4 linked regions of the Ovis aries genome follow. The protein of the gene in region 4 purifies or fractionates together with the protein of the main gene of each other region. This does not show direct contact. Links are inferred from orthologs where the notes say so. Each region holds a gene or a part of one and is shown on either strand. Other genes may lie near its edges.

Region 1 (7,311 bases), about 130 Mb from region 4:
TATACATATATGTGCATTCTATACAAAGTATGTGGAGTGCTTTGAGAAAAAAGAACAACTAACTTCACAGCAAAAAATAGCAGAGAACCTCTGTCTTTGCAGGCAAGGTGAAACATTCTAAAAAAATCCCAGAATAACTGGAGCGTCTCTGGAGGTCCACAGGCAGGAATGTGGGAGGGAGTACCCAGAGAGGTCCCCTGGGATCTCTCCCCTAGAGCCTACCCAGGGGAAGCAGAGGCCAGACATGAGTTCCTCAGCCCAGAACCCCCAGTGCTGAGCCACCACCCCACACCATCTCAGCACCCCCAGGGGCCTCACCGGGTCTGCAGCCAGCCGGTTGGGGATGGTGGGGGTCTGCTGGTCAACACACACCACCTTCTTCATGTCCTCAAAGCTGGGGTCATTGGGCACCACATCATAGAAGGGTGGCCGGTAGTCCTCCACGATGCCTAGGGATGTAGGACAATGGGACAGTCACTTGGGACCACAAACACGTCCCATACCACCCAGAAGTGAGCCTTGCCCACACTCAGTCCCAGGGTCCAGGAAACCAGCTGCCTGCCCATGCTACCTCTGAGAGGGACACCATAATATAATAAATATATTTATAAACAATAATTACTGCCATTTATCTTACACTTACCAAATATGCCAGGCATTGTGCTATAAAATGCACAATCCTATTAGTCTTCACAGCAACCTGACCACCCATTTTACAGATGAAGAAACTGATGCTCAGAGAAGTTGAGCCCAAGGATACACAGCTTGTAATGGTAGAGTCAAGACTTAAACACATTGCATTCATAGGACAGATCTTGTTCCAGTCTTTCCACAGCTGCCTCTCACCCAGGGTCAAGGTACTGCTTCCAGGCCCCAGCTATCAGAGATGCCCCAAAATAGCTAATGTTTACTGAGCAATTACTATGTGGCAGGCACTGTCCTAACCGTATGGCATGAGATCCTCACAAAACAACCCTATCAGATGAGGAAGACTATTAGCTCCACTTTATAAGCAATGAGGGGGCTCCCAAGTCACACTAGTGGTAAAGAACACATCTGCCAGTGCAGGAGGCTAAAGAGACTCGGGTTCTGTCCCTGGGTCAGGATGATCCCCTGGAGGAGGGCGTGGCAACCCACTCCAGTATTCTTGCCTGGAGAACCCCACGGACAGAGGAGCCCAGCAGGCTACAGTCCATGGAGTCGCAAAGAGCCGGACAGGACTGAAGCAACTTAACACACACACACACACACACACACACACACTCACTCACTCACTCTCTCTCTCTCTCTCTCTCTCTCTCTCTCTCTCTGAAATTCAGGCCAGATTCAGGCCAGAGAGGTTAAGAAGCTTGTCTAAAATCACACAGATAGTAAGTGACAGAGCTAGGAGTTAAGCCCAGGAAGTCTTACCAAAGCCCATGCTCTTGACCTCCAAGCTACACTTGAGGGAGGGGGGCAGACTGCTGGGTAAGGATATAGAATGAGGAGAAGGGGAAGAAAACACATCTTCGAAGGGAAGGAGATTTACCCAGGTCCAGATCACATCCACTCACTCTCAGGGGTGGCACAGGCCTCTGCTGACCCCCTCAGCCAGCAGTAACCCCTCCCCTCATCATCCCAAGTGTGCCATCCTGAGCAGGATCTTTCTGAAGATGATGCTGGTGGAGCGGCAGTCACTGAGGCAGAAGAGGCCAGACCCCAGAAAAGCACCTTAGGCCCCACCCTTCTTCCAGCCCGAGGCTGGGGGCTGCAGCCACACAGAACAGCCACAGCCTCAGGAGAGCCCGAGCCAGCTGTGCTCCCCGTGGCGGGCGTCCAGGCCGGCCCCCGTGCTGCTTGAGCCCTAATCAGTGCTGCGCAGAGGCCTGAGCGTGTCTAATGGGCCTTTAATCAGCGCCGGGGCTGACACCAGATTACAGTGTTTATAATGCGCCGCGAATCTGTGTGGAGCTGACAGAGCTTCCCTCCTCCCCAGGAGTCTGCAATCAGCCTCCTCTTCAGCCCAGGCTGGTCCAGCCTTCCTTTCCTGCCTGTGGCTGGGTCCGAGGGGCCTCGGTTGCTTCCAGGTGCCCCCTTTACCAGCCCCAGCCTCTGGAGTTTGTGTCTGAACCTGAGCCCAGCAAGAGGGTGGTCCTCAACCTGTCAAGACTCCTGGCAGCCCCTCTCCGTGGACAGCCTCCACAAAGACTGACCAGCCTCCCTACCTGGTCCAGAGCACCACCCAGCACCCATCCACCCCAAGACTGGGAAGGCACCAGCCACAGGGCAGGCCCTCTATGGGACCGTGAAGAATGAGGTCCCTGTGCCTGCTCCTCTCCGAGCTTCGGTTCTCTGTAGCACCCGTGGTAATAATGAGGCAGGAGGGACTTCCTTGGTGGTCCAGTGGTTAAGACTCCACTCTCAGTGCAGGGGGCACTGGTTCGATCTCTGGTCAGGGAACTAAGATACTGCATGCCGCACGGTGCAGCGAAAAATAGTAATAATAATAGTAAGGCATCAATAAGCAGGAAGTGCAGGCACTATTACATCCTGCATTTCTGAGGGAACAAGGACCAAAGAGGTGGAAGTAGCTCAGTAATAAAGAGCACTGGTCCGAAGAGTCAAAGTGCCTGGTTTCAGACCCCAGTGCTGCCGCTAGCCAGCTGTGACTCTGTGCCTCAGTCCCCCAACCTGTAAAATGGGGGTGCTGCTCTGTCACGCATTTGTCATTACGACAATTGCCACCAATATTTACTGAACTCCACTACAGTTCCAGATACTGCCCTGATTACCTTATTTGGATTATCTCAACAGCTGGAAATTATTTTTCTTCTCATTTTACAAATGAGGAAACTGAGGCACAGAAAAGTAAAGTACTTCACACATGGCAAAAATCAGGCACTGAACTTAGTCTGATTTCCCTCCGTTGCTCTTAACCACTGAAGCATACCACCTCCCTGCCAACACAGGACAATTCAGTAGGATAATACATGTACACAGCATGACATCTGGCACGTACTGAAACTCAATAAATGTTAGCTGTTATTAATATTTCTGTTGTTACCAATTACCCGAGATTTCGCAGCCAGAATCAGACTCAGATGAACCTGCAAAGGTCGCTCAGCTGAGCCAGCTGGTGAGTGACAGGAAAGGGAATTTGGAAGGCCTGACCACAAGCCCCTCAGGCCACTGGCCGGCGGAGACAGGAAGCCCTGCCTCCCACCTGTCTGCCTGGGTATCCTCCGGCCCTGTTCCCCTGTCCCACCCTGTGCAGGGGGGTGCCGGAGGCTCACCGTTGACAATGGTCCGGCGGGTGATCTCCCACAGCACCAGGCCAAAGGCCCAGATGTCCGTCCACTTGTAGGATTCGAAGCAGTCGGTTCGGATCTGCTCTTCCAGCACCTCGGGGGCCATGTACCGCTTGGTGCCCACTCGCGGGTTGTTGCCAATGTCCAGGTAATCACTACCCTGGGAGTGCATCACAGCCAGGCCTGTGGGCACCGGGCCTGTCACTGCCGCTGCTCACCCGGGCCCACAGACAGGGTGGCCCTGGGGAGGCTGGAATCCCGGCGTGAGGTGAGAGGGCGACAGACGGCAGGACACAGAGGGGCCGGCAACTGGAGACCGCCCTGAGCTGGGCTGGGAGCCAGCAGCCACAGGGAGAATAACTGTCCCTGTCATACTTGGCCTGCGTGGCGCTCTCTAGGCGCAGGGATCCGGTGAGATGCGAGTAGGCAAGGCAGGCATATATTTCAGAACTGAATCCCAGCGCACGGTGACAGCGAGCAATGTGCTCAGCAAAGCCGGGATGAGAACCCAGGTTGCTGGCTCCCTGCCCCTTTCTCCCCACACCTGGAGCCTGGCTGAAGTGGTGGAAGGAGTCTGGGCTTGAAAATACTGTTAAGGCCGCTGGTGGGGTGTGGGGTTCTTGTGGAGGTGAGACGAGAACACACACACACACACATGCCTGTAAGTTTTAAAGTGCCAATCAGTGTACACACACACACACACAGGAGGTGAGATGAGAACATACACACATCTGTAAGTTTTAAAGCGCCAGTGTGTATACACACACCCCCACACCCCTGTGAGTTTTAATTCGGCCAGTCAGGCCACTGAAGCCAGGCATCCAAACAGGCGAAGGCAGAACCGCGTGGAGAGGGCGGGCGCTCGGACTCCACGCCGGTCAGAGGCCCGCCCTCCGCGCTCACCCAGGTCGGCGATGCAGCACTGCAGGTTGCTCTTGACCAGCACGTTGCGGCTCTTGAGGTCGCGGTGCGCGATGGCCGGTTTGCCCTGCGTGCCGAAGATCTCCACGTGCAGGTGCGCCAGGCCGCAGGCCGCGGACACGGCTAGCTTCAGGGCCAGCTGAGGCTCCAGTGTCTGCCTCTGCAGAAAGTCGTAGAGCGAGCCGTGCTCGTGGTAGTGCGTGATGAGCCACAGCTGCGTGCTCGAGTTGCGGGAAGTCATGTCCGAGGCAATAAAGCCTGTGGGCGGAGGATCAGGTGGCTCACCGCGGGGCTAGGGATGAAGGAGGCTGGACCGGTCAGGGTCAGGGCTGGGGAGACAGGATGGAGAGGTCAGGGCAAAGCTGGGAATGGGGTGGAGGCTGGTCTGGCTTAGGGCAGAGAGGAAGCTGGAGTCAGAAGCTGGGGCCGAGCGCAGCTGGGAGTCCTTCAAGGTTAGGTCAGTGTCCAGAGGCCGGGTGATGGGGCAGGGCAACGAGAACCCCGGGCTGGGCCCAGCGCTCCCTGCCCCATCCCCGCTTGCCTAGGATGTTGTCGTGTCTGAGCAGCACCGTGTTGTAGATCTCAGTCTCCCGGAACCAGGACTGTTCATCTCTGGAGGAGAAGATCTTGACAGCTACGCTCTCACCATGCCACAGGCCCCGCCACACCTCGCCGTAGCGGCCCTTTCCTGATCCAGCAACCAGAGAGGAGGGAGGGGGTCACATACTGAACACACAGAGCCCTTGGGCACAGTCACCCTCAGAAGAGGCCCCCCTCCCATTGCTGCCCTGGCTCCAACTGCAGAATCTCTGAAGATTCTGTTTAACTGAATTCAGACCCACGCGCCTCTGGCAGGCCACCTCCATTTGCCTCTTGTTCCACCCCAGCTCCTGGCCAAGGATCAGGCACTGCCCCGTCTCCAACTCCCTCCCTGACTGGCAGAATTCCTGTTCTGACCCAGGCCTGGGCCCACCTATGACTCCCTCACCCCTCCAAGCTCAGTGGGAGCACTTGGTCCCCATCCCCTGAGCTCACCCACTGCTCACCCACACACTCCACCAGGGCGACCTGTCGAGCCACTGTCCTCTGCACCAGGAACGGGAGCCCTGAGCCACTGCCCGTGGTACAGCTACTGTCCAGGAGGTCCTGGGAGTACCGAGAGGCCACTGAGGGGCAGGCCCCACCCACCAAATCCATTTCTCTGTCCTCAGCCTGGGCCCCACTGCCTCATCTCGCCACACTTCTCATTCACAAACCCCTCCCGCCCAGTGCCAGCCAAATCTGAGTGCCTGCCACGTGCCTTTCTCAGCCACCTGCCACTCTGTGCCCCCTCTGACTCTGTGGCTCCTGTCTACCCCCCACCACCCGGTGTCCCAGGTTCCCCCAGGCCCGCACCCCCAACATGCTGTCCCCCTGCTCAGACGGCTTCAGGATGAGGCTGGACTCGCCCAGCTCACTGTTCGCGCCCCGCTGCTTCTCCTTCCTCCGCCGGACATGCCACAGGCCCAGGGCACCCAGGACTACGAGTACTAGCAAGGCCAGCACGGGGCCCAGGATCAGAGGCAGCTGGTCATCTCCTTGCGGCTGCTCCGGAGGAGTCTGGGTGGCTGGCGGAAGAGGGATACTGAGGCCCAGCTTCCACCAGGCCGGATGCCCCCCACCTTCCGCTCTGCCAGTCAGACCCCGGGGCCCTGCCTCCCCCACCCCCCAGGCCAGAGCCTGAGAGGCAAGCAGGGCAGGGAGGGCAGAGTCAGAGAAGCCCAGGAGGGGTTTCCAGGGCAGCCGGACGTACCTTCTAGCACCAGGGACACGTTGTGGTTGCAGAGGCGGCTGTAGCAGCAGTAGTGGTTGACGAACTCCGTGGGGCGCGCCCTACAGACCTCTGGGTGCATGTTCCCGCAGCCCCGGTATTCCCGGAGGTGTCCGTCCTCCCACACCAGCACAACTGTACACCAGGACCCCTGGCAGGTAGGCCCCTTGCAATGTGGGTTCTCACACGTGCAGGTCACCAGTGGGCCCCGAGAGGGTTTCAAGGGGTCACCTGAGGGACACACTAGAAGCTCAGCCACTCTGGGCCCAGCTCTCCAGGAGGAGCCTAACCCCTAAGTCTGCCCAACTGCCCCCTCCCTTCTGAGCTCTCAAACCAGCCCTTTGAGGTCCCAGTCCTTTAGTTTCATCCTCAGCCTTCCCTCTAGCGACATATCCCCACCAGGGGCAGCTGCCACCGTGAGAACCAGGCTTCTCTCCCTTCCCTGATCCTTGGACCTCTCCTCCAAGTTCCAGTCGCAGCACGCCCCCAGCCCCAGTGCTGAGAGCTCTACCAGGCCCCTCTGCCAACAGCCCCACTGTCTGAATCCCCATACACATGTTCCCACCCTGGAGTCTGAAAGAGCTCCAGCCTATTGGTTTGGATCAAGAAGCTAGCACAGGAGGGTTAGGGTAGCTGAGAGCTCAGTCTCACTGAACCCTGTCTCCCCAGTCCCTCTCCTCCCAGCTCCTCAGACTCAGCCCAACAAGAGCTGAGCCCAGACAGCCCTTTCTTTATCCCCTCAGGCCCCTGTTCCCTACCTGCTTCCCCAGTACTCACCCTGGGTCAGGCCCAAGGCCATCAGTAGCATCAGAAGCCTTCTCCTGGGAAGGTTCAAGGTCATGATCCCTGGAGAGGAGAAGGGGTGCAATAACATCTATGAAATGTGATCACCCTCAGTGTTTTCAGCCACTGACTGTGGGTCCCTCCCACCCAGAGGAAATTGCTGGGAGATTTTTTTTTTTGTTGGGGGGGAGGCAGGGAGGCCTCCTCCCTGTGTCTGGCTTTGGGGCGGGGCCTGCAGGGGAAGTCCTGGTTCACTTCCCCATGGAAACCATCCTGTTAGGGGTAAAGGGTGGGGAGCCATGTTTAAGTGAGTGAGAGCTTGGGGGACTCCCAGCTGTCCTGCCGCTGAGTGCAGACTGGAGGGCGCAGAGAGCGTGGGGCTGGGGTGGAAGGAGCAGCTCTTCAGCAATACCCCACCCCTGTCTGTCCCTGTCCCTTGCCCACCCCTTCCCAGCCTCCACCCCTGCCCACCCCTTTCCCAGTGCTCCCCCCCCCCCACCCCAGGCCTGG
Region 2 (7,311 bases), on a different chromosome or scaffold from region 4:
GGAGAGGCCACGCCCCAGGAGAGGCCACGCCCCAGGAGAGGCCACGCCCCAGGAGAGGCCACGCCCCAGGAGAGGCCACGCCCCAGGAGAGGCCACGCCCCAGGAGAGGCCACGCCCCAGGAGAGGCCACGCCCCAGGAGAGGCCACGGGGAAACAATGGACATGTACTGTTCAGAGATGCAGAGTGACACCGTGCTGACCCTGGGATGAGGAGCAAGACACCATCAGCACCTGCCACATGTCACAGTACTAAGTGACTGATTTTTAGAAATAGGAACCTGCCACAGTCAGGTGAAGATGACAGGGAACGTGGGAAAGCTGGAGAGGATCTGTCTTGTGGATTTTTCTGCAGACTACAAAATAACCAAATGAGGCTTGCGGGCTCCTATGAACAGGAACAGGAGGCAGGAAGCTGTCCTGAGTACTTTTGCTTTATTCAATCGAATAAACATTTTATTTATATAAAAGACAATGCATAGAATGAAAATAAGTGCTTGACACATTTGATATAAAAAGAGTATACAGCATTCACATTCCTATTTTAATACATGAGTATTGCTGAAATGTTCCATAAAAGAATAAAACTTTCCCTTTACGTAGTGAAAAAAGTCAGTATTTTTAGGAACTACAGAATGTTATTCCTTGGTCTTTTTCTTGAATAAGGAGAAAACAAACATAAAACAAGCCACAGTATCATCTACATTCCAGTTTATGCTGATGATGACCCAGAAGTGATAAAGCTCTTTTGAATCTTGGAAGTTCTCATAATGGACCAGTATTCTAGAAATTCACCACTAGAGGTCAATGAGCAACAGCTATTGGGACAGCATCACCAGCTCTAAAGTGCACGGGACTTCTGGGCACTTCCATGGCATTGTGGCCAAACTGCCTTATCTCTGTCAGTCCACCTGAACCAAGAAGGGTTCCTAAAAATTCCACCTAATCCCAACTTCAGCGTGTCTGCTAAAACCCCAACGAGATGTGGCTTCCAAAACCCAAGCAGAGCTGATCTGATCATTGCCAGTCCCTCTCCAATATTCCTACCTATTCGGCTGAAAACAAGCTTCAAATCATTTTTACAAAAGAGCTTATTTGCAGCATTAACACCTGTTTGTGGATTACCAAGTTTCCTATGGAGGATTAAAGCTCATTCTTGGTTCTTACCCACATGGACACAGATTTCCTAACTGCAGATGGGACTCCTGCATCCCACATTCAAATTCTGCAAACACTGGGAAGGTGGGTAAGAGACTAAGAGACTGGTAACCATGACAACAACTTCTTGGAGTAAAGGTCTCCCCCCTTGAATGCAGAGGGGAACACTCTTAACATACAAGCAAAAGAGATTTGGGTTAACAGGGACCATCCAGAGGCAGTCCTTGTCACTCCAGAAAAAAAAGGCCAACTTCAAATTTTAACCCCAGGAAGGGAATCAAAACCACACTCTATTAGCCAGAGAATGGTTGCGTGAATGCACATTTCTTGCAGGGAACCTTGGCTGGGGAAAGAAGGTTTAATTCCCAAACTAGGGTGAGAACAGGGGGAGAGAGCAGCTTTCTAAGTGTGTCTACACCTTCATCTGTGAATGATGTGGGACAGTGAGAACTGTAAGCTGTCTGCTATCTAGTCTCACTCGGGGATCCCAGATTTTTTTGCAAAATCTCCAGATATTTAAAAAGTGGCTCAATTTTGTTAAACACTGTGCTGGCCAAGCAAAACACACGTTCCGAGCGCCTGGAGAGACAGTCCTGACTGTCGCAGCACCATGCTGCTTCAATACTGTCCATGCGGCCAAAACGTGCTCAAGCCCCCTGGAGCCTGAGACCTACCAGTGATGCATAGCAAGCGGAAGACAGAAACCAAGCGTGATGAAAAACTGAACATAAAGAACCTGGAAGGGAGATCTGTTCCCTTTTAGGAAATGGGGAACAGTAACATAGGTTGGGGGGGGACTTTTTTAAAAAGAACACTTTCTCAGTACAAGGTGTGGCAATTTCACGGGTAGGGAAACATGTTCTGATTTTTCTGTAGCTTGTGGAGGTAAAAGATGGGACTTAAAACGTTAACGCAATGAGACTTTCAGAGCTAGCTGAGGAAGGCGGTTCACAAACCAGACGCGGGTGTGAAGCTCAGTGCCGAGTCCAGGAGAGATGATGGGACGTGGGGGCCTCGGGGTCTGGTCCCCAGACAGTGCGGCTCCGACTGGCTCCACAGCCAGAACAGGACCCGGTGCAGGGAGTTACTACGTTGCAAAAGCAAGTGCAATGTTGGCACAGCAGGCTGCCTCTCTCTGAAGGCAGAGACCCCCTCCCCCTGTGCCCTGAGCCCAGCACATGCGTGCCACCAAGTGCTGAGGCTGCCCATCCAGCCCACGTCTGGACACGTGTGATCTCTGTCCTCACCTCTTTCCACTAGTATGGCTGTGTATATATAGACATATATAGATATATATAAACATAGCTATTTCATATTTATATACAGGCATTAATAAAGTGCAAATGTTATTGGCTATTGTAAGATCAATCTCATTTCCTGAGGAAGTGCTAACACAGCTTATCCTATGACAACGTCAAAGGCAGAGGCTGCTTCCTGCCACCCCCTCCCAGCTCGGGGGAGGGAGCACCCCGGGTTCCAGGAAGCATCGTCAGGGGCAGCTTCCTGCTGACCCTGCTCTTTGGCCACAGGGCGGCCGGGCTGGGCCGGCCGCGGGAAGAGCTATTTGGTAGTGTTGAGGGAGCCGTCTTCGGGGATCTTCTCCTCCGAGCTGCTCCTCCCCGAGAGCCTGTCCAGGTGCTCCAGCTCGCTGAAGCGCTCGGCCACGCACTGCGCCGTGAGCCGGGCCTCGGGGTCGTGGTCCCAGCACTCGGCCAGCGTCTCGCACACCGTCTGGATGCCCTGCAGGGGGAGAGGGTCCACAGGCCCCTGAGAGGGGGTGGCAGCTCCTGGGGCGGGGAGCCCCCGGCGCCATCTGACCGCAGCACTCGGGGTCTCCCGCTCACAGGAAGCGGGGAAGCAGAGACACAGATAGAGAGGCTCAGGTCCCCAGCAGGCTTCTGGGGACAGCAGCATACCCGTTCGTGAAAATTCCCAAGAAGTGGGCTTGCACTGCCATTTCCCACCTCTCTCTTCTGGGGAGCGGGGGTGCAGTAACAGGCTTTACTATTGAGGGAAGCTTTAGGTTCACAGCAAAATTTCCATACCATCTAGCCCCTCCCCCCACGCAGACCGCCTCCCCCACCATCAACACGCTACATCTGTGTGAGGCATTTGTTAAAGCCAGTAAAGCAACACTAACACATCACTGTTGACCAGAGTCAGCCAGAGTGAGGTTCATGGTGAGGTACAGGATCAGGGTTCTGACAAGCGTCCATCATTACAGCCCTCACAAGGTCACTGCCCTGAACATCCTCTGCGTGTGCCTCCTCGGCCCTCCTTCCTTTTTCGAGCCCCCAACAACCACTGACCTCTTAACTGTCTCAATGAGACAGTTTCCAGAGAGTCAGAGCTGGAATCACATGTGTGTGTTAGTCACTCAGTCGTGTCCAACTCTGCGACCCCATGGACTGTAGCCCGACAGGCTCCTCTGTCCTTGGGGATTCTCCAGGCAAGAATACTGGAGAATACTGGAGTGGGTTGCCGTGCCCTTCTCCAGGGGATCTTCCCGACCCAGGGATCGAACCCAGGGCTCCTGCACTGTAGGCGGATTCTTTACCATCTGAGCCACCCGCATTCCTATTTAAACAGGACTGACTATCCCAGCTGGAGGGACATGTGGGCATGAGTCTGGTTACATTAGTCAAGCCCACATGCTTTGTAAGGATCCAAGCCCATCTTCCAACAGTTTCAAGGACACCCTCTGCTCGGCCCTTCCTCTCCAGCTTCAGCCTGGACCCTGGGAAACAGCTGTCTTCGTATGTCCTGCAGGCTGTATCAGGGGTCTTGACCTAACCCCCTGAAGGCCCCACTCAGAAAGGCCCATCCAGAAAATGTTGTCCACAACAGACAACCACGGTCTCTCTCGTGGCTTTAACTCTCATTTTGCAAATGCTTTTGTTAGTTCAAGTTGTTTTTTGGAAATAAGGCAGACATGGACTAATTATGTAGCCCAAAGAGTGGAAACAGACTCTGCCTCTCAGAGGCCCGGCCCTGCCACTGGTGAGCGCGCACACGGGTGGCCCAGGGGATGCATCTATCCCAGCCCTTCCCTGAGAGCAGCACCTGCCTGTCTGCAGTCTGAGCAACAGCACCCCACACCCAGCACCTGCCCTCCCTTCCTGCCCCATGAGTGAGCCCATGATGTTGGATTAATTGTATAATTCCCCTAATTGATGGTATTGATTGATGGCCCTGTTAAGAGTGGAGTGTTATTATTGGTACACAAGTAACATTTATTTTATTCTGGCACTGTAATTACAGGCAGTAAATTAAATTAAATATTAAGCATTAACTTGAAATCAATAGGGCAACAAATCTCATTAAGAGGAAAAATGTATTATGCAAATTCTTTCCAGAATTTTACCATCATAAATAATGGCTATTCATTATAAGAACTGTATGGCAGAGGAGGCAACAGAGCTGAAGGAAACAGTATCGCACCTTCTGAGTTTAGAGTGAACACAAAACAGCTTTGCATTTTCAAAGTCAAAGAGGCTCTGCTGAAAGCCGGGGAGAAACCTTGGGCCCCCACGGTAGGGTCCATGGCCTGGTGCAGGCTCTCCCTGATGTCAGCGGGCCTGCCCACTGAAGCGGCTCTCAGCCAGGCGGGTACACACAGGCTTCCTGCTCCATCTGTCTCCTTGGCCACGCCTGACCTGTGGTTTCGGCTTCTCATCTGCATTTGCCTTACCCTTAGGAAACCTAGGACTTAGCCCAGCCCTCCCTGGGTGAGGGAATTCATCCAAAGGCAGCCATAAAAGGTTTACGTCAATGGAAAAGACAGGGTGTCGTGAGCTGGGAGCACGGGGCTGTGGTCCAGAGCTCCTCCCTGCTGTGCCAGACCGTCCCGGCTCCCGCAGCCCACGGGTCCTCCTCCCCCTCTGCTGCCCCATCAAAATGCCCCCAGAGCAAAGAATCTGCTGCGGACGGACGGCCGCATCCACCGCCTGTCAGGAGATTCTGGAAAGACAGATTTCCTGTTTGTTCCCCTGCCCTCTGCTCTTCTTTGCCTTTCTTCATCCCGGCCTCCTCCCTGAGAGGCCTGCAGCGGCCTGAGCACACAGCAGCCCCTCACAGGCCAGCTGGCGGACAGTCCCCTTCTTTCTCACAAGTAGTTCCTGCCAATGTTGAAGGCTCCCAGAAGAAAACATTTGGAACCCAGAAGACAGCAAAACACAAACTCCCTATGGAAAGGATGAGTGGCAGAGGCTGTAAACACAATCTTTTAGTTCAGAACCAAGGGGTCTTGGACAATATGACAGGTGCCCGTCACACGTTGTGTTTGAGCCCTTTCTTACTTGTGGTGGGACATACAGTAACAAGGTCATCCCTTTTTACTGAAACTCCTTTATGAAGAAAACCAAGCAGAAACACGGAACACATCAGATTGGTGCCCAGCCGCCTGGACTTCTCTGCTGCCTGAGCTGTCCCTCTCCCTCTGGGTGAATACCACGGCCCCCCCTCACCTGGTGGTTGAGCCAGGAGCTGGGGATCTCTGGCCGGCCCCGGTCTCTTAGCACGCTGTCCTTCATGCTCTCCACGCAGGGATGCTCCCGCACCTTAGACCCGAACGGAGGCTCGTAGTCCTTCACTTCTGTTGGAGAGAGCAGGCGGACACAGGGCCTTGAGAGGGGCGTGCACAGCTGGGATACTGACTGTCAGGACTCGCCTGTGATTACGCTGGGGGTGGTTTTTAATTCTAATCGATTAATAAAATTATAAGGAGGGGTCATAGAAGGACCTTGAAGTCGTCAACACATGACTGACTGTTCAGTGACCATGAAGTGCTAACAACTGGAGACAGATCCGAGAACAAGATCAACCAGGTCAGGGGATACGGGCTTTAAGGATCATGGTCCCTGGGAGGTAGAAAAGCCTTCCGTATTACAAAGGTTCGTGGCCCTACAAAGGTCTGCAGCACATAAATAGATTTAACATGTGGTATTAAATTTCCTGCAGAGATTCAGCCATATAAAAACGGAATGAAACTGATAGATGCTGCAACACAGATTGTGCCAAATGAAGTAAGCCAGACATTAAACGACAAATATTGTATGGTCCCCCTTATGTAAGGTACCTAGAATAGGCTACTTCACAGAGGCAGAGAGGAGAAGAGAGGTGGTTGGGGGATGGAGAGACTGTTCACTAGTACAGCTTTTCAGCTGGGGAAGATGGAAAAGTTCTGGAAATGGATGATGATGATGATTACACAACATTGTGAATGGACTTAATGCTACCCAACTGCACCACTTTTTAAAAAATCGTAAACAGTTAAAAATGGCTAAACTGGTGAATTTTGTATCATGTATATTTTCCCACAGGAATAAAAAGTTGTGGGGAGTAGTGATTACGAAAAAAAAAGAAGTCTACAAAGGCTCCTTTCAATAGTAATAATGAAAAAGAGGTTCAGAAATGCTGTTTTAGTTAGCTGACAGGGGAGAGAGATTGATAACAAACACAATTCTAAAATGTAATTTTCCTTCAGTGGTACTCGCTAAAAAGAAAATAATGAAGGATGATGTAAACCCTTCATCAGAGTTTCAGGTTTCAATAAGGTCCATTTCTTTTCTTTTTTTAAGGGAAATTCATGTCACTTATTTCCTTCTAATTTTTTCCAATTGAAGTACAGTTGCTCAGTCACGTCCATCTCTTTGTGACCCCATGGACTGGAGCCCACCAGGCTTCTCTGTCCATGGCATTTTCCAGGCAAGGATACTGGAGTGGTTTGCCATTTCCGACTCCAGGGGATCTTCCCGACCCAGGGATAGAACCTGCGTCTTTTAGATCTCCTTGACTGGCAGGCGGACCACATCGTATCGGTTTCAGGTATACAACATAGTAACTCAGTGTTTTTATAGGCTGTGCTCTTATAAAGTTGTAAAGACAGCTGTGTTTTCTATGCTGTCCACTGTACCCTTGTAACTTACCTATCTCATTCCTAGTAGTCTGTATCTCTTAATCACCCTCACCCATTTCCCCTCCCCTCAGCCCCCACCCTGCTGGCAATGAGTGGCAGTTTATCTGCCTCTTATTTCATTCTGTAGATTTCATATTTAAGTGAAATCAAGCAGTATTTGTCTTTCTCTGTCCGCCTTATTTCACTAAGCATAATATCCTCTAGCTCCATCCATGTCATTACAAATGGCAAAATTTCAT
Region 3 (7,311 bases), on a different chromosome or scaffold from region 4:
TATATATGTATATGTATATGTATATGTATATTTTAAAGCCACCTTTCAACCAGGGCAGCCCAGAACAGTGGGCTGTGTGCTGGCTGGAATCAGGAGGCCTATATTCTAGATCCTGGCTACCATATGTTTCAGAATCTGACTTTTGGCAAAGCACTTCAGTTCTTGGGACCTTAATATGCCTTTTTGTAAAATAAGGGATTTGGATGATTGTGAAGATGGTTCAGATGATTTTATATTTTATTCATTTCACTGCTCATATGACTATTCATCAGGAATTTGTGGAAACTGCTTTTCAGCAGTATCTGAGCTTTTCAACCCCAGCTCTTTACAAAAAGTTTTAGAAATACTTTTGTAGTTATACTTTTAAAGAATTTATAAGAAAAATGTTATTTATCCTTAATTGCTTTTACTAACGGAAGTAGAAGGTATTAAGAATACATAGAAAAACTGTACAGAAAAGGTTTTAATGACCCAGATAACCAGGATGGTGTGATCACTCACCTGGAGCTAGACATCCTGATGTGTGAAGTCACGTGGACCTTAGGAAGCATTAGTACAAACAAAGCTAGTGGAGGTGATGGAAAGCCTAAAAGATGATGGATGTTGTTAAAGTGCTGCACTCAGTGTGCCAGCAAATTTAGAAAACTTTTTGAGCAGTGGCCAAAGGACTGGAAAAGGTCAGTTTTCATTCCAGTCCCAAAGAAGGGCAATGCCAAAGAATGTTCAAATTACCACACAATTGCACTCTTTTCACATACTAGTAAGGTAATGCTCAAAATCCTTCAAGCTAGGCTTCAACAGTATGTGAAATGAGAACTTCCAGATGCACAAGTTGGATATAGAAAAGGCAGAGGAACCAGAGATCACATTGCCGACATCTGTTGGATCATAGAAAAAGCAAGGGAATTCCAAAAAACACTTCTGCTTCATTGACTACAGTAAAGCCTTTGACTGTGTGAATCACAACAAACTGGAAAATTCTGAAAGAGATAGGAATACCAGACCACCTTACCTGCCTCCTGAGAAACCTCTATGCAGTCAAGAAACAACACTTAGAACCAGACATGGAAACAGCAAACTGGTTTAAAATTAGGAAAGGAGTACGTCAAGGCTGTATACTGTCATCCTGCTTATTTAGCTTATGTGTAGAGCACATCATGTGAAACGCTGGGCTGGATGAACCTCAAGCTGGAATCAAGACTGCTGGGAGAAATACCAATAACCTCAGATAGGCAGATGATACCACCCTAATGACAGAAAGTGAAGAGGAACTAAAGAGCCTCTTGTTGAAGGTGAAAGAGGAGAGTGAAGAGGCTGGCTTAAAACTCAACATACAGAAAACTAAGATCATGCATCCAGGATCATCACTTCATGGCAAATAGGTGGGGAAAAAATGGAACAGTGAAAGACTATTTTCTTGGGCTCAAAAATCACTGAATGGTGACTGCAGTCATGAAATTAATAAAGATGCTTGCTCTTTGGAAGAAAAGCTATAACAAACCTAGACAACATATTTAAAACAGAGGTATCACTTTGCCAACACAGGTCTGTATAGTCAAAACTATGGTTTTTCCAGTAGTCATGTATGGATGTGAGAGTTGGACCATAGAAGCCTGAGTGCCTAAGAATTTATGGTTCCGAACTGTGGTGCTGAAGAGTCCCTTGGACAACAAGGAGATCAAACCAAGTCAACCCTAAAGGAAATCAACCCTGAATTTTCATTGGAAGGGCTGGTGCTGAAGCTCCAATACTTTGGCCACCTGATGTGAAGAGCTGACTCATTGGAAAAGACCCTGATGCTGGGAAAGATTGAGGGCAGGAGAAGCAGGTGACAGAGGATGCGATGGTTGGATGGCATCATTGACTCAATGGACATGAATTTGAGCAAACTCTGGGAGATAGTGAAGGACAGGGAAGCTTGGCGTGCTGCATTCCATGGAGTCAGAAAGAGTCAGACACAACTGAGTTAACAACCATTATTATGATACTATTATAATATTGGTAAAACAAAGCATTTCCCTTTGGAGTTGATGTTTTGTAGTATAGGAAGAATAAAAAGCTGTTCACTTAAGTAGTTTATTTTACATCTTAAAAGTAGGACACAACTGAAGCGACTTAGCAGCAGCAGACTTCATTAGATACTTGTGAGATCAAGAGAGTTCCTTGGCTGCCTCCAATGAAATCCAGTATGCAGGCCCAGACAAAATATATTGTGTGCTCACAGAACCTGCATGTTTAACAAATGAAATTGGCCTAGATTTTGTCTTTGAAAAATTTCATCTTGACACTACAAACTGGAATTATTCATGCACTCATTCAATAAGCAAATTAGAGCAAATTAATATTAAACAGATGGCTAATTAAGCATGAAGTTAGTAGTTAACATTAAAAACATACATGCAAGTTGCAATTACTGTCGCAGCATGTTGAATTAATGCCATCACTGTCATTTTAGATTTTCTCTCGATTTAGCTAGTTTTGTATCACTAACTTAATCTTTCACTTTTCTTGGGTTTTACAAATCTCCCCTCAGTAGCTGAAACACATTGAGAATTTGAAACTGATAGGATGCCTACGGAAGTGTTTTTCAGAGCCCTCTGACCTTTTCCAGTCTGAAAAGCCAGTCTGGCTCTAGGCCAGCTTTCATCTTGGGATATCCCTCACCTTTCACCTGTGATCTCTCTTGCCTCTTCTGTGGTGACTGCCTTTCTGAATCCCATGTCTTCACATTTCTTGGTTTGCTCATTTATCCCCCTCTTCCAGCTCTTTGCTCAGATGTTACCTTGTCAGTGAGACGTTACCTGTCAATCTATTTAAAATAGCACTTTCCCCCCCCCCTGGCATATTTTATCTCCTTCCCTAAATGATGTTTCTCCTCAGCACTTAGCACGGACAGTCCATGCATTCTGCTTATTTATTATATGCTCTAGCCCTCTATAACGTAAGCTTTATGAGAGCAGAAATGTCGTCTGTTAGTTCACTGCTGTGTCTGTTAGTGTATCCTACCAGATGCATGTAGGATGGCATCTGGATTATGGCACTCAGTTTGCTGGATGATTTTATGCATGTCCTGAACCCTTGGTCATTTTTACCTGAAAACAAATGTTCATTTCTAGGAAATTTTCCTCAAGTATTCCCTTCCATTTTCCGTTCTTTTTCTTCAACTCTGGTTATGAATGTAGACATCCTGAACAGGCATTCTGATTTTCTTGTGTTTTTCTTCCTATTACCCATCTCTTTGTTTTCTTTTCTCTACTTTCTGGGAAAGGAATCCGCCTATATCTTTTGGTCTTATTATTATCACTCAGGTTTATCTTGTGGTTTCATAAAACTTTCCCCAAACCAAACAAAACCCCAAAAAAGTATTGATAAGTCCAGTATCAGTAATCTCTGAAGATATTAATGATGGATTGTTGATATTGTCTTCTATACACCTTTTGGTTTTTCCAAGGTGTTGTTTTCTGTGTCAGTTTCTGCATTTCATATTACTTTCCTGAAATGTTTGATCAAGCTCATGCTCTGTATAAAAGCAGCACTGAAAGCTGATAGGAAGCTTTGTGCACGTGAATGGAGCTTATCTTCCACTGCAGTCTAAGGGTGAAGTAACTGGATTGCTTCCTTGGGGAACCACTGATGTCTCTCTTTAGGCTTTTCTTCTTGGGCTGAAGACTCTTCTGGTCTCTTACCTGGAGGACCATGTAAAGTCACTGGCCGTGTTCTGGGGAGAAAGTTTACTGTCTTAGCATTTAGTGTGTTGTCAGTGTGGAATTTTGCCCTTATTTCCCCAAGACGGGAATCTGTTCTGCTCTCTCAGATTGAAACCTCTTGTCTTCTGTTCGGATGGGGTGGGATGGTCACCCAGCTGTGTGAAGTTGGGGCAGGGCAGGTATCTGGGTTTCCAGCTTCTTTGGCTGATTCTATTTTTACCCTGAACTTCACCCCAGGGATACAGGATATAAGTTAATTCCTCAGTTTTGGGGGCCATTTCATGTGAGTCAGGTTCTCTTTGCTTTGCACAGCTCTTTTGAGGATTCAGGTTTCTCAGGCTGCCAAGTAAATCCTCCTTTGTCCATCTGCTTTCCAGCTGCTGGCACCAGTATCCTGCTGATGGGAATTTAGGTCATCTTTACTCATTTGCTATTACAAATAATGCTGAAACAGAAATACTTGTATGTCGTTTAAAAAGAAAATTTACAGGTAGATGAGATGGCTGGATGGCATCACCGACTCGATGGATGTGAGTTTGAGTGAACTCCGGGAGATGGTGATGGACAGGGAGGCCTGGCGTGCTGCGATTCATGGGGTTGCAAAGAGTCGGACACGACTGAGCAACTGAACTGAACTGAAAGATTATTATCCAGGTCGTTGAAACATGGTGCATGCATTAATGATCTTTCTTTTCTTTTCTTGTAGGCCTTGAGAGTAATGGCTAAAATTATGAGAGAATGTTGGTATGCCAATGGAGCAGCTAGGCTTACAGCTTTGCGGATTAAGAAAACATTGTCACAACTCAGTCAGCAAGAAGGCATCAAAATGTAAATTCTGTGGCTTTGCCTGAACTCTACTTCTTCTTCAGATCTGCTCCTGGGTTTTAATTTGGGAGGTCAGTTGTTCTACCTCACTGAGAGGGAACAGAAGGATATTGCTTCCTTTTATGACGATGTAACAAGGTGAACTAAAACATCCCAGGATTTCTTCAGACCCAGGAAACTGCCATGTGGGGTCCTTTCTGTGCACTATGAACGCTTCTTTCCCAGGACAGTTACAAAATGTTGTGTAGTCTACCTTTATTTTTTATTAACACAGAACTTGTTTTTTTAAATGATTGCTGGTCTTAACTTTAGGTAACTGCTGTGCTGAAGATCATCTTTAAGGGTAAAGGAGCTGGATGGCTGAGTTATATGAAACATTTCTTATTTTTAAAGAAAGTGATTTCTCCTGGTTAGTACATTCTCAGAGGATTCTGAACCACTAAAGAGTTTCTTTGATTTAGACTTTGAATGTACTGTTCTATAATTTTCAGGATCTTAAAACTAACACCTATAAACTCTTGAGTCTAAAAATGACCTCATATAGTAGTGAGGAACATAATTTATGCAATTGTATTTTGTATATTATTGTTCTTTCACATATTCAGAACATTACATGCCTTCAAAATGGGATTGTACTATACCAGTAAGTGCCACTTCTGTGTCTTTCTAATGGAAATGAGTAGAACTGCTTAAAGTCTCTCTGTGTGTTAAACCTGTCATGTTTTAATTCAAAAGTTTATTTACCTGGATAACCCAGACTTACTCTGTTTTGTTTTCTGGAAGAGTTTTTCTGGTATGTTCTTTGGTATTCCATTTTGAAAATGCCTTTCTCCTACCAAAATGTGCTTAAACCACTAAAGAAATGAAATGGCATTAATTGGTAAATGGTAATCATGGTCATAATTAAGTATTCTCATCCAGTTTTTGCATTTTAATTGTATTGTCTAAGTACACTTTAAAAAAATCAAGTGGCACTCTTGATGCTTATAGTACTTTAATAACTTAAAATCTGTAGCATACAGACAAATTTTTCTAAAAGGGAAAATTTGTCTAGCTGCTTGTGAAAAGTTGTGTGGCATTCTGTAAGCCATTTTTTTCTTTATCTGATCAAAGACAGTGTTATTTTTTTAAGAAATGAATTACGTTTAAAATTAGAATATGGTTAATGTTAAATAGGCTTTTTTCTAGGAAGGTAAAGGTAGTTGATAATTTGAATAGTAACAGGTATTTGAGAGTCACACCGTTGTGTAGGAGTCACTGTTCTGTGGACTTTGTCTTCGTAGCTAAGGTTAGAGTCAGTGTGGTTTTGAGGTCGCACTACACTTTGAGAAAGGCAGCTTCTAATTCAGTCTTTCCTTCTCTGTGCAGATATTGCAACTGCCTAATTTATATGGCTATGGAGTGAATTTGGTGCACCCTCAATATCTGGGAAGGTGATAGCTAAGGCATATTCCAAGGATAGATTCTCCATTTACAGATGTTTATGGTGAAATTAAGTGTTTAAAGCAAATCTGTCATGGCCTTCTCACATTAAGGTGAAAGTAGCTTATAATAACTGGTTTTACTTCCAGTGCTAAAAGTCTTTGCAGGATTTTTACAGTTTTTCAAAGTCCTCTTTATCACTGTGATCTTAATCTGAGGGAGGAAAGTCTATCATAGCTGTGAGGCAAGATGTCCTTATAGAGCTATCAATTTCCTGATGAAAGGGTCAGAATAATTACCTTTACAGTATTTTGGTCATTAAGAGATAGTGGCCATTTATGCTGATTGAGCTGCATTCTGATAACGTCTTATTTCTTATAAATAGAATAAATTTTAAAGACTATTTGGTCTTAAAGCCAAAGTAATTTTAGAATGAATGAGATACTTCATAGGAATTTAGTGTCAATTTCACGTGTTTAAAAACAACATGGGGAAAATATTGGTTAGAGGTTAATATTTTGAGTCCAAATTTGAGTTTTTTCTGTAGTTACCATGATTTCATCAAAGCAAATGAGTGAGTTTGAGAGGTTTGTTTTATAATTGTGTTACGTTTCCTGTTTAATAATCTCTAGCTCTATGATCAGGTACTTTTACTTTTCTTTTTTTTTTTTTTTGGCCATTTACAAGCCTACCAGATCTGCTTTATGAAATCCAGGGGACCAATGCATGTAATCACTAAAACTATTTTTATATAATTTTAAGAACATACCAAAAGTTCTTGTCTGATTTAAAGTTGTGATACATGATTTCTCAGTTTCATATAAGGTAATCAACTTTTGCTGAAGATATTCTTTATTAAGTAAAAAAAAAGACTTACAATTTTACTGTTCAGCCTAAATGGATAAAATCTACTTTTGATGAATCAGGGAACTTTTTAAAAGTTGGAATTTAGTTCTAAATTGGGTTTACATGTTACGCTAGCTGATTCCTTTTTTTTTCCCCCCCGACTAACGATGGTTTGACAAACCCCAATTGGCTAGTATTGAATGAAAGTAACTGAAAATATTTATGGATCATGATTGCTGTGGCTGTTCCTGCAGAAAAATTTGACTGGATATATTTAAAAACACAAGCCTTTGTGTTTATACTATCCTCAGATGCTCACTTTCCAAGGTTCAACTTGGCTGAAGCGTACCTTCAGGCAGGTTGTCTGTCAGTGCCCCCAGAGGGACGGGGGTGAGGGGTGCATGCGGCTTACTGGGGTGTAGGCATCCCTGGTCTTTTCTTCACACCCTTAGCTCGCTCGCTCCCAAACTGCCTTCCTGCTGGTCCTGCCTCTGAGTGGGCTGGCAGCAAG
Region 4 (8,036 bases):
AGTTAAAAAGTGCCAGGATCCAGGACTTCCCTGGTGGTCCAGCGGCTAAGACTCTGAAACCCCAGTGCAGGGGCCCAGGTTTGATCCCTGGTCAGGGAACTAGATCTCACCTGCTGCAATTAAGAGTTCCCATGCCACAGTTAAAGATCCCACATGTTGCAACTAAAAAAAAATTAATACATAAAGTGTAGAGATTGAGAGATGTTGAAGTTTCAGATCCTGATTCTGCTCCTTTCCAGCTTCCTTTCCATGCCTCAGTGCTATTACTTGTAAAATGGAGTGGTCATAGTTAAAATACCTTCCTTGGTGAGTTGGTGGAAACATTGGTAAATTGACACAAGCATGGTGCTAAACAGGATTCCTGCTCAGGAACTAGAAACCGCTGTCAGTTATTTATGTCCACTGGGGGGAGATGTGAACGTTTCCATCAAACATACCTTATTCCTTGCCCTTTCTGTGCCCTCTCCCTGAACACTTCTTTTCAACTCCTATTCATCCTTCAAAACCCTGTTGGGAAAATCTCATCAGAACCCATCCAGTTGTTCTCTAGGTAGGAGACCCATTAAGGTGCAGGAAAAAAACCTAATGTGTGGGGTAAGACGATTTGGCAACAGAGAGAGCCTCATTGTCTTCCCCAAGGCACTATGGTGTATGGTTAGGTCCCGGGCTCGAGCCCCTGATACTCATTTCTGAGCTATGTTACTCAGGCAAATTCCTTCACCTGCCAGTGCCCCAGTCTTCTCAGCTGTGAAATGGGGCTAATAGGAGAGCCTGCTTCATCGGGCTTTTGTGCAGGTTAAGTCTGATAGTACACATAACAGGCCTAGAGCAGTGGTCTGGCCTTCATCTCCACCTTTGTCACAGGTATTAAAGTCAGTTTGGCCCTGGATGAGAGTCCTCTTTAGCCTCCAGAGCTGATGCCCCAAAGCTGGGGCTGGAGCTAGAAGAAGGGGCTCCAGAACCAGGGTGATCAGTGTTCCAAGCCTCCCACAGCCACCCAGGCCACCCATGGTACAAGGAAAAGAAGCTGAGTTCAGTAGACAGCTTGGATCTGTCACTAGTCCTGAGCCTTGATTTCCTCATCCGTAATCTGGGTATAGAGACAAAAGGCAGCCTGACACACTGGAGACGCAGAAGAGGTGGTCCCTCCTGCTCACCCTGATTCCTCACTAGGCCCTTGAGCAAATAAATAGACCAGGCTTGTCCTCCGAGGGCCCAGCACTGACCTAGTGGTGCCCATGAGAAATTGAGATCGATTCTTTCTCTCTCTCTGGGGCTTAGTGTTACCAACTATCTGGCCAAAGTGAGAACCTCAATTAATGGTCCTGCCCTCACTGTCCCAGGGAACCCCTGTCTCCTGGTTCACACAGCTCCTGCTCCAACCTACCTTTCCTCCCGGCAAACGAGAGGCTGCCCCGAATGCACTCTAGGGATGGATATCTGTAGGCTGTGTCCTGCATCCCTAGCCCCTTCTCAGGGGTCAGGGCTGGGGAGACTCTCACACAGGTGGCCAGCAGCACAGGGGACTCCAAGTCACACCTCTACCCTGTCTTTCAGTAAGCACTTACCCACACTTAGGAAACACTCTTTGATTCCAGCCACCCAGCACGGGCCACGAACCCCAGCACCTCCACTTCTGGGACTCTATCCAAGTGAAATACTCCAAAATACAGGAAAAGATGCATGTACCAAAAACGTGCTTGGAAGTGGTATTTATAACTGGTCCCCAAGGGGAAACCACCTAAGTATTCAACAACAAAGGATTCATTAGGGAAATGATGAGATGGCACGTTTAAGGGAGAGAATATTCTAGAACCACAGTGGAATGATCATGGAGTCCACACGACAACATAGAAAACTTCTGGGACATAAAAAGGGTGCATAAGATTTCCAGATTTGATCCACTTGCATTGAAATTACCTTAAAAAGCTAGACAATAGCCAGTAAGAAAGACACCAGCATGCTAACAAGGCCCAAATTAATAGAAGGAGCTGGGAGGTCATTTCCCCCACTCTCATCTATTTTCTTTGAGGAGCGGACTCGAGTGAATATATGGTTAAATTGCTTTAAAAAAATCTATACGTATTTGCTCTTAGAAGAAATTCCAGCATGACAGGAAAGTGTGTTTTAGAAAGTGAAGATCGTCTAGAGGAGCCTGGTGCTAAAGAGCAGTGACGTTGGGGTTTTCTTCGTGCATACGGTACGTCACATATGTGCTTGGTCACGTCTGACTCTGGGACCCCACAGACTGCAGCCCGCCAGGCTCCTCTGTCCTTGGGATTTCCCAGGCAAGAGTACTGGAGTGGGTTGCCATTGCCTTCTCCAGGGGATCTTTCGACCCAGGAACCAAACCTGAGTCAGCTGTGTCTCCTGCATTGGCTGGCAGTATTTTTTACTGGCTGAGCCACTTGGGAAGCTCACAGTATGTGTTTCTGCTATTTTATAGAACTGGAGTCAGTACTGTAGGAGCATCTGACAGTGTGTCCCAGACGGATGTCCACAACAGTGTAGATCTGGGAATATCTTTTTCTTGGTAACTGCTATGTGAGATTCCAGTGCGTAGTCAGCCATGTCATGGAGTCCAGGCTGGTGGACACTGCCTGGCTTTTGTTACAGGCACCCATGGACCATACATCCTTACTGAGTCGGGCAAGTAAGCCCTTGGGGCTGACTTCTGAAGGCAAGGATGTTACACAAGTTCGGGTTTTGAAAGATTCTGCCAGGTTGTGTTCCCAGAAGGCTAGATTCATCCAGGGACCTGTTTTGGTCTTATTTTGACCGCTGGGGTGCCAGCACCTGCCAGCAGGAGCAGATTAATATGTTATCAGGAGTTTTTCCAACTGGCTCTTAAACATAGCCATAATTAAAAATTAAATTTTATAAGCTTATCATTAAATAAATCACATATTTTATGTGTAATATATTTCAAATGTATACTATTGTATCGAAAGTCATAAACCCTAATTATTTTATTCCCCTTATATTATCTGTGTTCTTAAGGTTATCTACGTCTGTCATATCTGGGTGGTGGAAATAGTAGATAAAGCTTTATTATGGCGCAGCCGCCCCAACTCCAAGTCTGCTGAGCTGATAGCTTGAAATCAGCTGGGTGGGAACATTGACACCATGGATATTAACAAACATTAACAACCCCCCACCCCCACCCACCTCTCCCAAACCACTGTTGACTATTTGCCAGCATACCACTGCCTTCCATCCTATAAAACCCGACCCTAAAGAGCTGCGAGGGTCTTTCTCTGATGACCTAGAGGAAGAGAGTGTTATCAAACTAGAAAGTGGGGGAGGCTGGAGAAAGGCAAGATGGCTGGGGGCCTATTGTGGAGTTCAGGTACAGCTTCTGTCAGAACTGTGTGGAACTCAGCAGGTCAGAGCCTCCACTTCCCCTCCTGTAAAATGGGGTGATAGAGGCAGCCGTCTTGGAAGATAACTGGGAGCTTATGGAGAGTGGCTGCCATATCACTGCCTGATCAGGAGCAAGTGCTCAAAGGAGCCACAGGCCTGGGGCGAAACCCTGCTGGTTCACTTAATGTCTGAGACTCGGTTTCCTGTATTGTCAGTGAAGCAGTGGGAAGAGCTTAGAGACCCAGGACTAGAGACCTTAACATGCCTTGGCTGGAGTTAGGGGCTTCCCTGATGGCTCAGTGATAAAGAACCTGCCTGCAAAGCAAGAGACAGAAAGAGACTCGGGTTCGATCCCTGACTGGGGAAGATCCCCTGGAGAAGGAAATGGCAATCCACCCCAGTACTCTTGCCTGGAGAAATCCCGTGGACAGAGGAGCCTAGTGGGCTATAGTCCATGTGGTCGCAAAGAGTTGGATACGACTGAGCGACTAAATAACAGTAATGACAGGGTAGGGTAGGGAGGGGGTGATCATCATTGCTTCTGTTCCCATTCTCACCCCTCCACCCCTATCCCTTAAGGAGGTCCTGGATGTGCCCGAGGTGAGGGGGTGTCCACACGGCTATCTGGGGGCTTCAAATAAATGAGGGGCAGGGCACAGAGAGGCCCAAGGAGAGTGGCATGAGGGGCCAGGGTCCCCGACTCCTTGCTAACTCTCATCTAGTCATTTCAGAAGGTCGCAGAGGCCATGACCACCTGGAGAAGCCCCCAGGCTGAACCCCTAGTCTGGGCTGAGCCCCCATTCCGCACACTTCTTGGGTGTAAGCGGAGGGAGCACCCAGTCGGAAGGATTCCAGGAGCCGCTCACAGGCCCCAGGGAAGGTGAAGGAGGAGGAACGTAATCATAAAACCACAACAAACAGAAACCAGCTTGCCACTGACTTTCCCCGAGGGGGCTTCTCTTATCATCCTCTGCTCGGCTCACCGGCCCGAAGGCAGTCCCCCAAGATCACACCACGAGGAAACACAACGTGAGATCTGAACCCAGAGCCCAGGTTCTGACTCTGAGACCGCGCACCCTCCCGTCCCACCCATGCCTCAGATGAGGAACTTAAGGCCCAGAGAGGGCAGGGGACTCGCCAAGGGCTGAACAGCACTCTAGGACCTGGGCTTCCTGGGGAGAAACTGGACGTAGCTGGAGGCCAGTTAAGGTAAATAACTCATCCCTGTTTGCCCGAGTCGTTTAGGATGGAAAGTTCATCCTGCCAAACCGGGATGTTTGGTCACCCTGTGACATCTGTCTCGGGTGGTCCAGAACCCCCCTGACCCCAGGACAGCTCCACTGGGCAGGAGTCGGGACAGAGGGAGGAGGCCGGGAACACTCGGGGCCTGGTCTGTGCCCTGGGGGCCCAGTCACCCCCTACCCGGGTCCCTGGACACCTACTTGTGGGGCCGAGGCTGCACACGACCAGCAGCAGGGCAACGGCCTGGCAGAGCACGCCGCGGTCCATGCTGTCCTTCCGGGGGTCTGCGTGCGGGGCCTTATCCGGTGTCCAGGGGCAGGGCTGCGGACGGGTGCGGGGGCCGGCGTGGGCTCTCGCGGGGACCCAAGGGCAGCAGGCAGCTGGAGCGACGGCGTCCCTGCTCCAGCCTTCTGAGGTGGCGGCTGAGGGGTCAGGAGAAGCGGGCACGGGAGCGTGGGGCCAGGCCGGGGGGTTGCTGGCCCAGCTTTAAGCGGGGAGAGGCTGCAGGGCTTTTGTGGATGGTGGTAGCGGCAGCAGCAGTCCCGGCCTGTGGATACAGATGGAGGCTGGGGTCTGACCGTCAGCTATGGGAGCTCCGGCTCATCCAGCCTGGCCCGGGGAGGCAGGAAATGCGCTTCCTTAGAGAAGGGGCCGGGCCAGGCGGCCTGCCAGGCAGAGAGAGGAAGTGCCACAGGCTTTGTCGCTGGGTGGGGGGCCCTGGGGCGGGGGTGTTTGTTGGGGGGGAGGCAGTGGGGTGGGAGGACCCAGGCTCCAGGTTCGTCTCCCCACATACCCCACCCTCCCATCCCACCCTCTCCAACGGCTGGCTGGTGGGGTACATCTGGCAGCCCCAGGGGGGCAGATGAAAAGAACCATCCTAACAGCCCACCAAGGGGCACCATCAGGGGCCAGGCCTGGCCAAGGCCTGGAACTTCACGGGGAATTCAGCTCTGTGAACTCGCTGTCCCCGTTTTGTAGATGAGGGCACAGAGGCTTGATGAGGTGCGATCACTGACCCAAGAAGATGGTGGAGCTGGAGTTTGAACAGGTCTCCTCGGGCACCAACACTGGTTTCCCTAAGTGCGACACTGGGCTGGCGTTCCCTTGTTTTGTAAGCAGGGAGCCTGAGGCCCAGGATAGGGGAGCAATGCTCCAAAATTGGCACAGCGCGGCAGCTGGGGCTGAGATCTCAGGGCCCAGAGAGCGCAGAGGACAAGCCCACTGCCACACAGTCGCCCTGGAAATAAAGCAGGTACAACAATGCTTTCCTCGCCAGGCGGTTGCGAGATTTCCGTAGGTCCAGGTGCCATAGCACAGAGCTCTGGGCCCGGCACTCAGAAAGGGCTTGCCCATCACGCTCCCTGAGCCTGGGAGACAGTCCCAGAACTGTCCCTTGCTCATTTGCAAACAGTTAGCACCAACTACATGTCCGCCTTGGTGCTAGTCACGGGTAGCACTTTAGGATCAGCCCCAGGAGGTTCAGAGGAGGAAGCCGCTGCCTGGAGGAGGGAGCATTTAGGTCTGGCCTGTGGAGTCTGGGCGAGTTGCGGTGAGGGGGTGGAGAAAGGGGTGCGGAGGGCGAGTCAGGCTGGGCACCAGCCTGAGCAAAGACACAGAGGCAAGAAGTGGCCTGACAGCCGCAGGTCAGGCAGGGGTGTGGCGGGGAAAAGAGACCTAGAGAGGCAGACTCTGGCCTTGCTCTGGGAGAGGGGGCAGTTTTTACTTGAATTTAGCCGCACCGGCTCTCAGCTGCAGTATGCCAAACTCCAGTCTTTGTTACAGCAAGGATCTTCAAGTTACAGCTTGAGAGACTTTTAGTTGCAGCATGTGGGAATCTAGTTCTCTGGCCAGGGATCGAACCCGGGACTCCTGCATCGAGAGCACAGTCTTAACCGCTGGACCACTAGGGAAGTCCCAGGGAGTGGGGGGCCTTCAGGACTGTATCCTGAAGGCCTCGGGAGTCACAGAGGGTTCTGGAGAGGGGGTGCTGGCAGAGTGGGCTTGGAGAGGACGAATTTCCGTCCCACAGTGGGGACAGAGCCAGGGGCTTTCCCCTTTACACTTGTCCTGGTCACAGATGGAGAAACCGAGGCCCAAGGAAGAAGGAGAAGGTGGGAGCCCTGGCTGCCTCCGGATAAACCGGGGGCGAGTGGAACGTGTTTGTGTCTGTAGGAGCTGACCCCCAGGGCAGGAAGGGCGGGTGTGGCTCCTTGGGTGGAGGTGGGGAAAGGTTTGCTCGCCCAGCCCTGCGGCTGCGCGTTCCATGCCCGGCCAGGCTCGGGTCTTGGGTCACTGGAGACCCATCCCAGTCCAGAAAGGCCAGGAAGGCTGTGACAGAGCAGAGGGAGACCCCCGAGAGTGACTGTTCCTCGGCCTTTTCCTGCAGCCTCGGGGATGGGGAGGTGGGCATCACCAGGCACAGGGTGGCTCCAGTGGGGGAAGGTTGGGTGCCTGTGAAGTTCCCCAGGCACCCTCCCAACCAGAGTCCATGCCCCAGGGACAGTTAGTTACTCCAGTCCCCCCGGAGCTGAACTCTCCCTCTCTCAGGCCCCACCCTAGGCCTTCCTCTGTCAGCTCTGGATCCCCTCAGTCACTCCAGAGACACAGGAGGAACCTGAGGCTCCCTGAGGTTTGAGTGACCCCAGTTGGAGACCCCAGGGCTGCCTGGCTCCAAGCTCTGCTCCTTCCCATCTGCTCCCATCTGAACTTGGAGAGGACAGATGGCCCTAGGTGAGGGGGATTGTTATCCAGAATGGGTGTTGGGGCATCTGAGGCCATAACGGGGACCCCACAGGAGGCTCCTCTCAAACCTCCCTCCCGGGAACTTTCCTGGTGGCCCAGCGGCTAAGACTCCAAGTTCCCGATGCAGAGGGCCTGGGTTCTATCCATGGTCAGGATCCTACGTGCTGCAACTAAGACCCCATGCAGTGAAATAAATAAATATTTTTTTTAAAAAAATAGAAAACACTGCCCTCCCATCCACCCTCATGCTGCTAATCCATCCCCTCTCACACGGTAAGCAAGACCCACTGGGTTTCTCTAGAAAGTGGGAGAGGCCTAGATGGACCCAGGCCATGCTTGTTTGTGACTTCCAGGGAGAGAAAAACCTAAGGAGGGCCTAGAGTCCTGAGCCCAGGGGCCCGGTGGAGGGAGGAAGATGGGGCACCCAGGGCTGGAGAAGGGACTCACCCCAAAGCTCCCATGGCACCCTGACGCCGCCACCCCTCAGCCAGCCTCATGCTGTGTGAGTCTGCTCGACTAGCAGCCCCTCGAGGGCAGGGACTTAGATGTCTCTGCTCCACTGCTTCCCCAGCACAGAGCCCAGGAGGACCTTCTGGTCCTTAAGACTCACTGATTAAAAGCATGAAGTTCTGCAGAAGGTAAGGCAGGAGCGGAGCCGGGGACGCATAGGGCAACTGAGACACAGAGAG

The links.
Region 1: the proteins of ENG (region 4) and ACVRL1 purify together in Homo sapiens (affinity purification with western blotting; 3 studies listed by BioGRID and IntAct, with this or other methods). This does not show direct contact. The link is inferred for Ovis aries from reciprocal best matches to the Homo sapiens genes ENG and ACVRL1.
Region 2: the proteins of ENG (region 4) and TGFBR2 purify together in Homo sapiens (affinity purification with western blotting; 3 studies listed by BioGRID). This does not show direct contact. The link is inferred for Ovis aries from reciprocal best matches to the Homo sapiens genes ENG and TGFBR2.
Region 3: the proteins of ENG (region 4) and TGFBR1 purify together in Homo sapiens (affinity purification with western blotting; 5 studies listed by BioGRID and IntAct, with this or other methods). This does not show direct contact. The link is inferred for Ovis aries from reciprocal best matches to the Homo sapiens genes ENG and TGFBR1.

The regions. Positions count from the first base shown.
Region 1 is NC_056056.1:134,404,233-134,411,543, forward strand, and holds part of ACVRL1 (serine/threonine-protein kinase receptor R3), read right to left. Parts: intron 6,865-7,311; coding exon 6,796-6,864; intron 6,250-6,795; coding exon 6,001-6,249; intron 5,816-6,000; coding exon 5,604-5,815; intron 5,355-5,603; coding exon 5,255-5,354; intron 4,897-5,254; coding exon 4,750-4,896; intron 4,467-4,749; coding exon 4,191-4,466; intron 3,471-4,190; coding exon 3,273-3,470; intron 450-3,272; coding exon 319-449; intron 1-318. UniProt on the Homo sapiens protein: Type I receptor for TGF-beta family ligands BMP9/GDF2 and BMP10 and important regulator of normal blood vessel development. On ligand binding, forms a receptor complex consisting of two type II and two type I transmembrane serine/threonine kinases.
Region 2 is NC_056072.1:5,221,264-5,228,574, reverse strand, and holds the end of TGFBR2 (TGF-beta receptor type-2), read right to left. Parts: exon of another isoform or gene 6,716-7,311; intron 5,750-6,715; coding exon 5,622-5,749; intron 2,896-5,621; coding exon 2,716-2,895; 3' UTR 414-2,715; downstream 1-413. UniProt on the Homo sapiens protein: Transmembrane serine/threonine kinase forming with the TGF-beta type I serine/threonine kinase receptor, TGFBR1, the non-promiscuous receptor for the TGF-beta cytokines TGFB1, TGFB2 and TGFB3.
Region 3 is NC_056055.1:48,708,700-48,716,010, reverse strand, and holds part of TGFBR1 (TGF-beta receptor type-1), read left to right. Parts: intron 1-4,413; coding exon 4,414-4,539; 3' UTR 4,540-7,311. UniProt on the Homo sapiens protein: Transmembrane serine/threonine kinase forming with the TGF-beta type II serine/threonine kinase receptor, TGFBR2, the non-promiscuous receptor for the TGF-beta cytokines TGFB1, TGFB2 and TGFB3.
Region 4 is NC_056056.1:8,359,853-8,367,888, reverse strand, and holds the start of ENG (endoglin), read right to left. Parts: upstream 5,239-8,036; 5' UTR 4,873-5,238; coding exon 4,806-4,872; intron 1-4,805. UniProt on the Homo sapiens protein: Vascular endothelium glycoprotein that plays an important role in the regulation of angiogenesis. Required for normal structure and integrity of adult vasculature. Regulates the migration of vascular endothelial cells.